Macaca mulatta: one gene and its partners. The protein of the gene in region 3 interacts with the protein of the main gene of each other region in a pairwise test. Links are inferred from orthologs where the notes say so. Each region holds a gene or a part of one and is shown on either strand. Other genes may lie near its edges.

Region 1 (2,307 bases), on a different chromosome or scaffold from region 3:
ACCACATTTGTGTTCATGAGGGGCCTGGATGCCATACGGGCGACGCAGAGTCCTCAGAGGAGACTGTGCTGGAAGCTGACAGCACAGTCCTTTGAGTCAGATTTCATCTGTCCATTTGCTCAGTAGCCCTGGGCCTTGACTCACAGGTAGAATGGGAGTGCACACTCAGTACATGGAAGACAGGACTGACTGTCCCTGGACCATAATAGAAACTCATTGAAGTTCAACATGAAAAAAGTTAGGAAGAACAGCTCCAAGCAGAAAATCCTAGGGGCATGGAATTCCACCACCAGCATTCACCTTGGGGAATCACGGTGGGGATCCCCACGCAGGCCGGTGCACAGAGAATGTGTGGAGTGGCTGTGCTCCCTCACATCCCGTTTCCTGGTGGTATTGAACAGCATGTTGCGAGCTGTTCTGGCCTCAGCAGCCTTGCAGGGAGGTCCCGGGGGTGGCGTGTGCCTCCTTGAGCACATGCAGGCCTATAGTGGGGCCCCGCACCCAGCCTGTGTGTGGGGAGGGGCTGCTCAGCATCCCCACTGCACCTGGATGGGATGTGGTGACAGGATGGTCACTCAGGTGTGGCCAGTGACCAAAGCTGCTAACATAGTTCACTTTGTCCTCAGCTGCTCCCAGAACTGACCAACCCTGATGAGCTACTGTCCTACTTGGGACCGCCCGACCTCCCCACAAACAACAATGACGACCTGCTCTCTCTGTTTGAGAACAACTGATCCTGTGTTTACCCCAGGCCTGGCGGGGACACGCTCACAGATGTCACCACAGCCCTGCCCTTCATGCCCAGCCCCCTGAGACACCCGGTGGTCTCTCCCAAACCTCCCCCAAAACACACCTGGAGCCAGAGCCTTCTGCCGCCAGCCCTGTGCTCGATTGGAGGGGCTCCCAGCCCGGCAGCCCTCGCCACCTCCCTCTACCAAGCCTGCTGCTGCAGAACGGTTTTTGCTGAGGTGCCCCTGCCCAGCCCTCTCCAGCCTTGTCCACGCACACCTCACACCCCTGGTCTCACAGCCTCACACCTTGTCCTTCCACCCCTGCCTGCCCCCGCCCAGCCTGCTTCTTGTCCAGCATTGATCCTTCTGTTTCAACAACTCCTCCACTGGGCAGAGCTGGGCATCTGGCGGGGCTGGCTCTGTCCCCTGCGCCTTTGGCTCCAGTGGTCCCTGTGCCTGGCAGTCCAGCTCTTGGAACCTCGCTGAATGGCAGCCTCTTGGGGGCCTGGAGCTCTGGCAGCCCAGCCATGTGTCGTGTCGGGTTCCTCTCCCCACCCCAGCTTCAGGCAGAATCCTCGGGGTGGGGGAGCTACAAAGCACAACAATGTACATAGTGTAGAAACACTAACAGCTGGGAAAGGGGAGCCAGCTGTCCAGCCAGCATGTTCCTGTTGTACAGCCCGGTCTCCCTGTGCACTCTGCTCCTTCCCATGTGCAGACAGATCAGGGAGGAACCTCCAGTGGGTGGGGGACAATGAGCTTTGGCCCGGCCAAGGGGGGTGGGTGGGCTCTCAGATTCAGCTCTGTGTAAAGATTCTCTAGCGGGCTGCGCTCCCAAGTTCCCCGTTTCTGTGAAAGTGAAGAATTAGTACAGCTGTGTTTTTTAAAGCCACCTCTCCGTCTCCACCCCATGGTTCCACACCCAGGTGGGGAGGAGGAAGCCACTGCATCTGTTGGCTCAGGGCCCCAGCCTGTGCGAGCAGGGCGCCCGGGCTGTTGTGTCTCCTGTCTGTGCCGATCTCTATTAAAGGACTCCCTCTTGGTGGGCCTGGCCGAGTCCCTCCTTCATGCTCCCAGGGACTATTTTCTCCCCTGTAAGCCAGCGACCTGCCTAAAGCTTGGGCCTCTGTGCCTGCAAAGCCTGTGCAGGCTCTGGGGGCCGGGTCGACCTTCTAGTGGCTTTTGGGACCCCAGGTTGAGCTCTGGATGTTCCAAGCTAAGGCTCAGCTATTCCCGCCCCATAGTAAATTTCCTTTTCCCTGGAATTTTCCAAGTTGGCTTCAGCTGAAGAGCTATTTTGTGAAGCGTTCCAGGCTTGCCCAGGAGAGACATTTGCCACTATGTCACCTTATCTGGGCTTGCCCTGGGGCACTGAGCCAGCTGTTTGGCAGTCCCAGCCCAGCCAGGGGCTCCTTCTCAGCTCTTGTCCCTGGGAGGCCTCTGCTTGTCACTTACCAGAGATTGCAGAGGTGTGTCCTGCCTACCATCTGCCTGTCCAGCTTGGTGGGGGTCTGGGTCACCCTTTCCTCCTGTCCTGGGCCCCATCCTTGAGGGCCTTCCCAGCCAGCCAGCAGGA
Region 2 (3,653 bases), on a different chromosome or scaffold from region 3:
AAATAACTTTTCCCACCCCACAGCTTCAATCTCTTAATGTTTTCTTTTGATGAACTTAAGTCTTTAAGATATAATCTTTTCCTTTATGACTTAATACTTTTTATATCTTCTTAAAGGCACTTTACAAAGGAAATCTTCATGCTATTTGACAAGAGGCTTGATCTGGCTGGGCACAGTGGCTCACAACTGTAATCCCAGCACTTTGGGAGGCTGAGGCAGGTAGATCACTTCGAGACCAGCCTGGCCAACGTGGTGAAACCCTATCTCTACAAAAAATACAAAAATTGGCGGCATGGTAGCACATGTCTATAATCCCAGTCATTCAGGAGGCGGAGACAGGAGAATTGCTTAAACCTGGGAGGTGGAGGTTGCAGTGAACCAAGACCACGCCACTGCGCTCCAGCCTGGGTGGCAGAGCGAGAGACTCCATCTTAAAAATAAAAAATAAAAATAAAAATAAAAGAGGCTTGATCTCATAAGTAATCAGGGAAATGCAGATTAAAGCCAGACATCTACTTAGTTGAGTATAATATGAAAACAAACAGGAACCAACCTGGGGAGAAAAATGAATATGAAAAAAATATAACCCAGTATACATATTTTTTCTTTTAAAAATAATAGAGATAGTGTTTCATCATATTCCCCAGGCTGGTCTTGAATTCCTGGGCACAAGCGATCCACCCACCTCAGCCTCCCAGAGTGCTGGGATTATAGGCGTGAGCCATCAAGCCCAGCCTAACCCAGGATTTTTAAAGGGGCAAATATGTGAATAAGCATTTCACAAAGAGGAAATCCAAATAGTGGTATTCAGCAAAAATCTTGACTCTAAGGGATGTGAACAGGTTCACCATTCTTCATTTCTAAGAGGAAGTAATTCATTCTGTAAGTATTAATTAATTTGGAGATTTCTGAGTCTCAGAACTTAAACTTTCACGACTTTCAAAATTATAAGGTTCATAATAGTAGGGACTATAGTTGTTTTGTTCAGGTCTAGAATAGTGACTGGCACTATCACACACACCAGAAAAGAGTTAAATACAACAATACACAAATGAAAAGAAGTAGGAAACCACAACGGTCTCGGTGTGAATTACCTTCCTGTGCTCTGACACTAGGAGCCTCAGCTGCATCTCAATGTCATTGCTTGTTACTGACGCGTCGATTGTGGACGCGCACAGAGGTGGAAAGGGAGGAAGGGATGTTGTAGCTCCAGGAGCACACACAGATTTAATTGCTTCCTCACTCATGGGCTTCCATTTGGATTCATCATTCAAATCAAAGACACAGGTTTCTACTGCATCAGACGGTTGACAGTTTCCCAGGAACATCTGATGGTTGAAAACACAACCAATCGTTCGATATGGGTACAGTGGTTTGGGCTGTTCAGCAACTGGAGGTTCATCAGGATTGGCAGGTTTATGGATGTACCTAAAAAAATTAAATAATTTTACATATGAGAACTTAAAAATTAAGAAGGCAGCATCTTACTGAGAAAATTATTCTAACACTTAAGGCCATAACTACTTTTTCAGAACTAGAGTTTAATACTTTTTTTTCTTTATTTCCACAATTTGATTACTCTGTATTAATTGTATGGTACATCTTACAATACTGAAACCAACTCTAAACAACAGAATACATTCTGTGTATACTGTTAAGATCAAAGGCCGGGTGCGGTAATACCAGCACTTTGGTAGGCCAAGGCAGGTAGATCACTTGAGGTCAAGAGTTCGAGACCAGCCTGACCAACGTAGTGAAACCCTGTCTCTACTAAAAACACAAAAATTAGCTGGGCGTGGGAGTGCGTGCCTGTAGTCCCAGCTACTTGGGAGGCTGAGCAACAAGAGTGAAACTCCGTCTCCAAGAAAAAAAAAAATCAAAAAAGTTTGCTTTAGATAACATAATTAAAATAATCTGGTTATGCATTTTTAGGCACAACTAACCAAAACATCACTGTGCATGATTATCAACCAGGGAGAAAAAGGACTCAGGGAAATGAAGAGGGCCCATGGCCAAGCCTCTAGAACACATGCATTTGAAGACAAGATGAAGGAAAAACTGCGAACAGCCAGAGAGGAATAATGAATACTGAAAGACAATTACAAGAAATAAGCTAAGGAAAGAGAATATCCCAGGAAGAGAAGTGAGACAGCCAGGTGGAAAGGGGTCCCCAGAGAAACTCCAACCAGCCTGTGCACTGGGAGGAGCGTACACTGGGGTGGAGCCACACAAGTTCAGCAATTTGCAGTGGGGAGGAGCCTGGCCCCTCCTCTTCCTGAGTGGACCCTGGAAGTGAATCTGCGAGGCGGGAAGCACACTAGCGGGCGCTCTGGCTTTGTGGAGGGTCCCTGTTTCCCAGTTTTTTTCCTTTTTGTCCAATAAATTCCATTTTTCTCCCCCTTCAAATTGCCTACGAGCCTAATTTTTCGTGGCAGTGTGACAAAGATCCAGCTCTTAGCTGAACTAAGGAGGAAGTCCTACAACAGAGGTACTCAGCTCTTTCAAAATCTGATGACAGGCTAAAGTACTTCAAAAAATGTGTCCAGTGGATTGCCAACATGGAGATGGTAACCACATCAAATTTTAAAAAGAAATAATGATTTACAACTTGAACTTATTTTCAGGCTTAGGGATGATCATCAGAAAAAAACATATGCCGGCCAGGCGTGGTGGCTCAGCACTTTGGGAGGCCGTGGCGGACAGCCTGCTTGAGCCCAGGAATTAAAGACCAGCCCAGACAACACAGCAAAACCTCATCCCTCCAAAAAAATTAGCTAGGCATGGCTGTGCACACCTGCAGTCCCAGCTACCCAAGAGGCTGAGGTAGGAGGACCACTGGAACCCAGGAAGGGGATGCTGCAGTGGGCTGTGACTGTGCCACTACACTCCAGCCTGGGCAACAGAGTGAGACACTGCCAAAAAAAAAAAAAAGAGAGAAAACTGAAAAAAAAAAGATGCTAATCATACACAACTAGTAAATATAATTTACTGTTTACGAACATCATGTTGGTAAAGAATATTTGAGGTAAAAATTTTCTTAGAGTTCATTTACTTAGCTGCCATAATTGAAGTACTTTTTTACGTAATCACTAAAAAGGCTCTAACTAAAATCATCAACACGTACCTTCAAGTACCATCAATATGGACAAAAAACCCTTATAATTTAAAATACTTAAAACTTAAGCTGGGCACGGTGGCTCACGCCTGTAATCCCAGCGTGATTGGGGGACTGAGGTGGGTGGATCACCTGAGGTCAGGAGTTTGAGACCAGCCTGGCCAACATGGTGAAAACTTGTCTCTACTAAAATTATAAAAATCAGCCAGGTGCAGTGGCGTGCACCTGTAATCCCAGCTACTGGGAGGCTGAGCCAGGAGAATTGGCTTGAACCTGGGAGGTGGAGGTTGCAGTGAGCTGAGATTGTGCCAGTGCACTCCAGCCTGGGCAACAGAGCAAGACTCCGTCTCAAAAAAAAAAAAAACTTATAACTTCATTTTAATATCCTTATACACTTAGTAGACTAACCTGTGTCCTGTTAAACTCTCCCAAAAAGTGATGGTCCCATCAGTTCCACAAGTCATAACCCATGCATGAGGTACTCCTTTTGCCTTGGTCCCAACACAAACAAAGGCTTCTAATCCATATCCAAGAAGAA
Region 3 (3,626 bases):
CCACTGTGACAGGCAAAAAAAAAAAAAAAAAAAAAAAAAATTATACGTTTTATTTAACCCCATCCCTATGTGCTTCCTCTGCATTCTTAATGCTAAGAATCCTCCTTTGTCTTGTTGGTAGAAATTATTAGGGTTGAATTACATTTTTTTTTCTTTCTGATTATGACATCAGATCTCAAGGATCATAAAGTTTAATTCACCTTGGTTCTACAGATTGACTGATATCAGAAGGCTGATCTGTGGTTTGAAAAAGACTGAAAAGAAAGTTTCCAACCTCCAAACAAAACCCACACAAAAGCCTGGTGGTGGAAGGTTCTAGGTAGAGAAAAATCTAGACAATGACTGGACATAATGGGCAAATGCCTACCTTTTGGAAATACAAACTCCACAGGGAACAATTTCCACAGGGAAGTTACATTAACTGAAGGCTGTCTTAGGACAAGGCTGAATAAAGTAAATATTTCAACACCATATGTTCAGCTTTGGCAGGAGATGTAGGTGGGAAGGGAATCTCAATGTTGGAGAATGCCCATATCACACCCCAGCTGGCTATGTAATCATGAAATAAGGAGAAACACATAAATATTTGGTTAAAACACCTTTAATGATAGAGGGAAAGACACTAATATCTCCCCTGTCTGTTGTTGACATTTTACTAGGTGAGGAAGCTCTGGAGCCTACAGCTTGAGGAGAAGCCATCGTTCAAGTCAGTCAATAGCAAAATCCTCACTCTCTCCTCCTCAGAACTCCTGTTCCAAATGATCCTATGTTAAGAGTAAATACTACATCTCATTACAAGACAGAGAGGCAGGGAGGATGCCACCTGGAGCTGGTCTCCCAAAGTCTGGGACTCTAAGAACCAGACAATGACAAAGACACAGGCCCCAGCCTACAGATAGGCAAAATGGGGAGGATAGGGGTCTTGAAAGAGGAAGATAAGGAAAATACAAGGGGCCAGGGAATAAAGGAGGGAGTTATCTAAAACTAGAAGCATACTAGTGCTAGGAAATCCCCCATGATCCCTGGAACACCTCTGCACACTATGTCACTATTAGCCCAAAAGAATATTAACGAGAATGTCCACATTCACAATAATTTGAGGCCCTTTCCCTTACATCATGCCCCTTTCTTAGTCACATAGGTACCAGCAAGCCCTATGTTTTAGCAACATTCCATAACTCTCTCATCATTACTTCATCGACCATGCTGACCAACAATGCCCCTTAAAGATATGAACTTCACATTTCCCAGATATCTCCTGGGAGACCTCTTGGCAAGAAATCAGCTTGTTTCCCGACTTTGAGAGGCCATGATGAATGAGAAGCTGGAGAGGTCTCGGCACACTGACCAGCCAACACCTTTACTTTAATGTGACCATCAGGGGATTTACGGGAAAATTTTCCTATGCCCTTCATTTCTCCATACTTCCTAGGGTTGGGTCACCAATTACTGGAGCATCTTCAGTACCGGCACCTTCTGGAGGAGGGGGAGGGGAAAGGAATATACAGTTTGCTACTTCTTGTCTATGATGGGCTTCTCAGGCACTGCCTTGGTTGCAGGAGGCTGAAATAGGAGGGGAGCTGTCTTCTCGTTGGCTTCCCTGGATCCCATTGTTGGAGGCACCTTCCCAGCCACAGTTCCTAGGCCAAACAGCACTGGTGGGGCCAGGCTTGGAGTGGTAGTGGAGGTGGAGCTGGAATTCCAGGGCTTCATGGGCAGGCCACTTGACAGGAATGCCACATACTGGTTCTAGAAAGATAGGGGACCCACACCCACCAGCTGAGCAGAAAAGTCACCCCAGAGGAGTGACACTGGGCCCTCAGAGACAGCTGCCAGCCCTTTGGGCTAGGCTGCAATTCCAAATGTAGGTGCTCAGGTGCACCTGCCAAAGGGAAAGGGAGAGGAAAGAGGAGGGGAAAGAAGGGTCACACCAGGGAAGCTGGAGAGGGTTCCTCTTGAGAAAGCTGCAGAGAATCTATTTTCCTCAGGTACAAAGAATGACGAGGTAAGAAAAATTCCTTAGGGGGCCATCCCCTTGTAAGCACAGTAATTTCCAAGCTCAGGGACTAGAGAAAAGCCACTAGGGACATATGTTAAGAACTTAGAGAAAAAGACAAAATCAGGGCTCATAAATCTGGGAGGTCCTTTTGTGAAGGTGTTTCTGCTCTGTGGGACAAAGAGCAGCAGGTACAGAAAAACAGGCTCATGGGATGGTGGGGTCATCTTTTCGGGGAAAGGGAGAGAGCCCTGTGGAGGTGATGGAAGGTGAACAGCCAGGGACTAAAGAAAGAGCAGCAATATTCTGAGGGCCATGGGGGGCAAAGGGCTGTACCTGGTGGTGTGCCAGTAGCATATGCTTCTTGAGGGTAGCCCGCTCAAGAAAGCCCTGCCTGCAGAAAACACAAGTGAAGAGCGGCCCCTCCTTGGGGTGGGTCTTCTGATGCTCCTCCAGAGCTGCCTGGGAGGGAAAGGCCAGGCCACACACTTCGCAGGCCTTTCTGCTGCTGCTCTCTCCTGGCTCCTTTCTCATTGCCTCCTGCAGGCTCAGCTCCTCTACCAAGGTTACGCTGGTGCCTTCCCCTTCTGGGGTGAGTGCTGATGCTGGGCTTGAGCTTCTCTCCGGTTTGCCCCCCTCTTCCTTGCCTCCTAAAGCATCACTGCTTCCCTGCTCCATTGGCTGAGGCTGATCCAGGCTCTCAGGTGGTGGTAGTGGTGGTGGCAAAGAAGACTGCTGAGTAGCTTTCTCATTACTGTCCATCTCCTTCCCAGCTGTGACTGCTGCCGCCACTGTCCCCACCTCCTCCTCTGCCCCAGATGCCTCTTCTGAATCACCTCTCACTGATATTGCCTTCTCACCTCCACTCTCTGAGCCTCTCCCTGCCAGGGAATCTTCATCAGTCACATCTTCTTCTTCTTCCTCATCCTCTTCTTCCTCCTCCTCAGACAACTCCTCTTCTGGTGATGGCTGCTGGGACTGCTGCTGGGGGAAACTCCCTGCCCCGGAGACTGTAGATTGCTCGGAGCCATTCTCTTGAGCAGCTCCTCCACCTTCAGGGAGTGCGGTACCACCATTGGGGATCTGGCCCCCCAGGTGCATCCGGACATGCTGCTGCAGAGTGACAGCATTGGTGAACTTCTTCTGGCAGATGGGGCAGGAGTTCTGTGCCCGGGCAGCTGGACTGGCCTTGTGGCCCACGAAATGTGCACGCAGATTACCCCTGGTGGAGAAGGCTCTGCCACACACTTTGCATTTGAACGGCCTCTCACCTCCATGTTGGCCATAATGAAGGCGTAGGGCCCGAGGACAGCTAAGCACCCGGAGACAGATGACACACTGGTTAGGTCCAGAAGAGGCTGAGGATGAAGCTGCAGGGGCAGAGGTGGTGGGGGCTCCTGAGGCAGTTGAGGTCACTGCCACAGCTCCTTGCCGGTCAATCTTTTCTACCAGTTGCTGCAGCTTTGATGTCTCAGAGGGTGAGGCCCCCAAGGGCTCTAGCACATAGGGGAAGGGGAAGCTGCCAGTGGACTTGAAGTGGTTGGTAAGCAGTGCCCAGCTCGGTAGTGAAGTCACCAACTTACTTAGCTGCATGCGAGTTGCTGTGCTACTTTCTGCCACTCCACTGATG

The links.
Region 1: the proteins of SALL2 (region 3) and ZMIZ2 interact in binary tests that used the Homo sapiens proteins (3 or more experiments, as listed by UniProt). The two-hybrid records come from large-scale screens. The link is inferred for Macaca mulatta from reciprocal best matches to the Homo sapiens genes SALL2 and ZMIZ2.
Region 2: the proteins of SALL2 (region 3) and CEP76 interact in binary tests that used the Homo sapiens proteins (3 or more experiments, as listed by UniProt). The two-hybrid records come from large-scale screens. The link is inferred for Macaca mulatta from reciprocal best matches to the Homo sapiens genes SALL2 and CEP76.

What each region holds. Positions count from the first base shown.
Region 1 is NC_133408.1:83,668,915-83,671,221, reverse strand, and holds the end of ZMIZ2 (zinc finger MIZ domain-containing protein 2), read left to right. Parts: intron 1-626; coding exon 627-734; 3' UTR 735-1,779; downstream 1,780-2,307. UniProt on the Homo sapiens protein: Increases ligand-dependent transcriptional activity of AR and other nuclear hormone receptors.
Region 2 is NC_133423.1:83,353,265-83,356,917, forward strand, and holds part of CEP76 (centrosomal protein of 76 kDa), read right to left. Parts: coding exon 3,524-3,653; intron 2,110-3,523; exon of another isoform or gene 1,933-2,109; intron 1,429-1,932; coding exon 1,095-1,428; intron 1-1,094. UniProt on the Homo sapiens protein: Centrosomal protein involved in regulation of centriole duplication. Required to limit centriole duplication to once per cell cycle by preventing centriole reduplication.
Region 3 is NC_133412.1:94,382,399-94,386,024, forward strand, and holds the end of SALL2 (sal-like protein 2), read right to left. Parts: coding exon 2,333-3,626; coding exon of another isoform or gene 2,204-2,332; exon of another isoform or gene 1,980-2,203; intron 1,750-1,979; coding exon 1,513-1,749; 3' UTR 586-1,512; downstream 1-585. UniProt on the Homo sapiens protein: Probable transcription factor that plays a role in eye development before, during, and after optic fissure closure.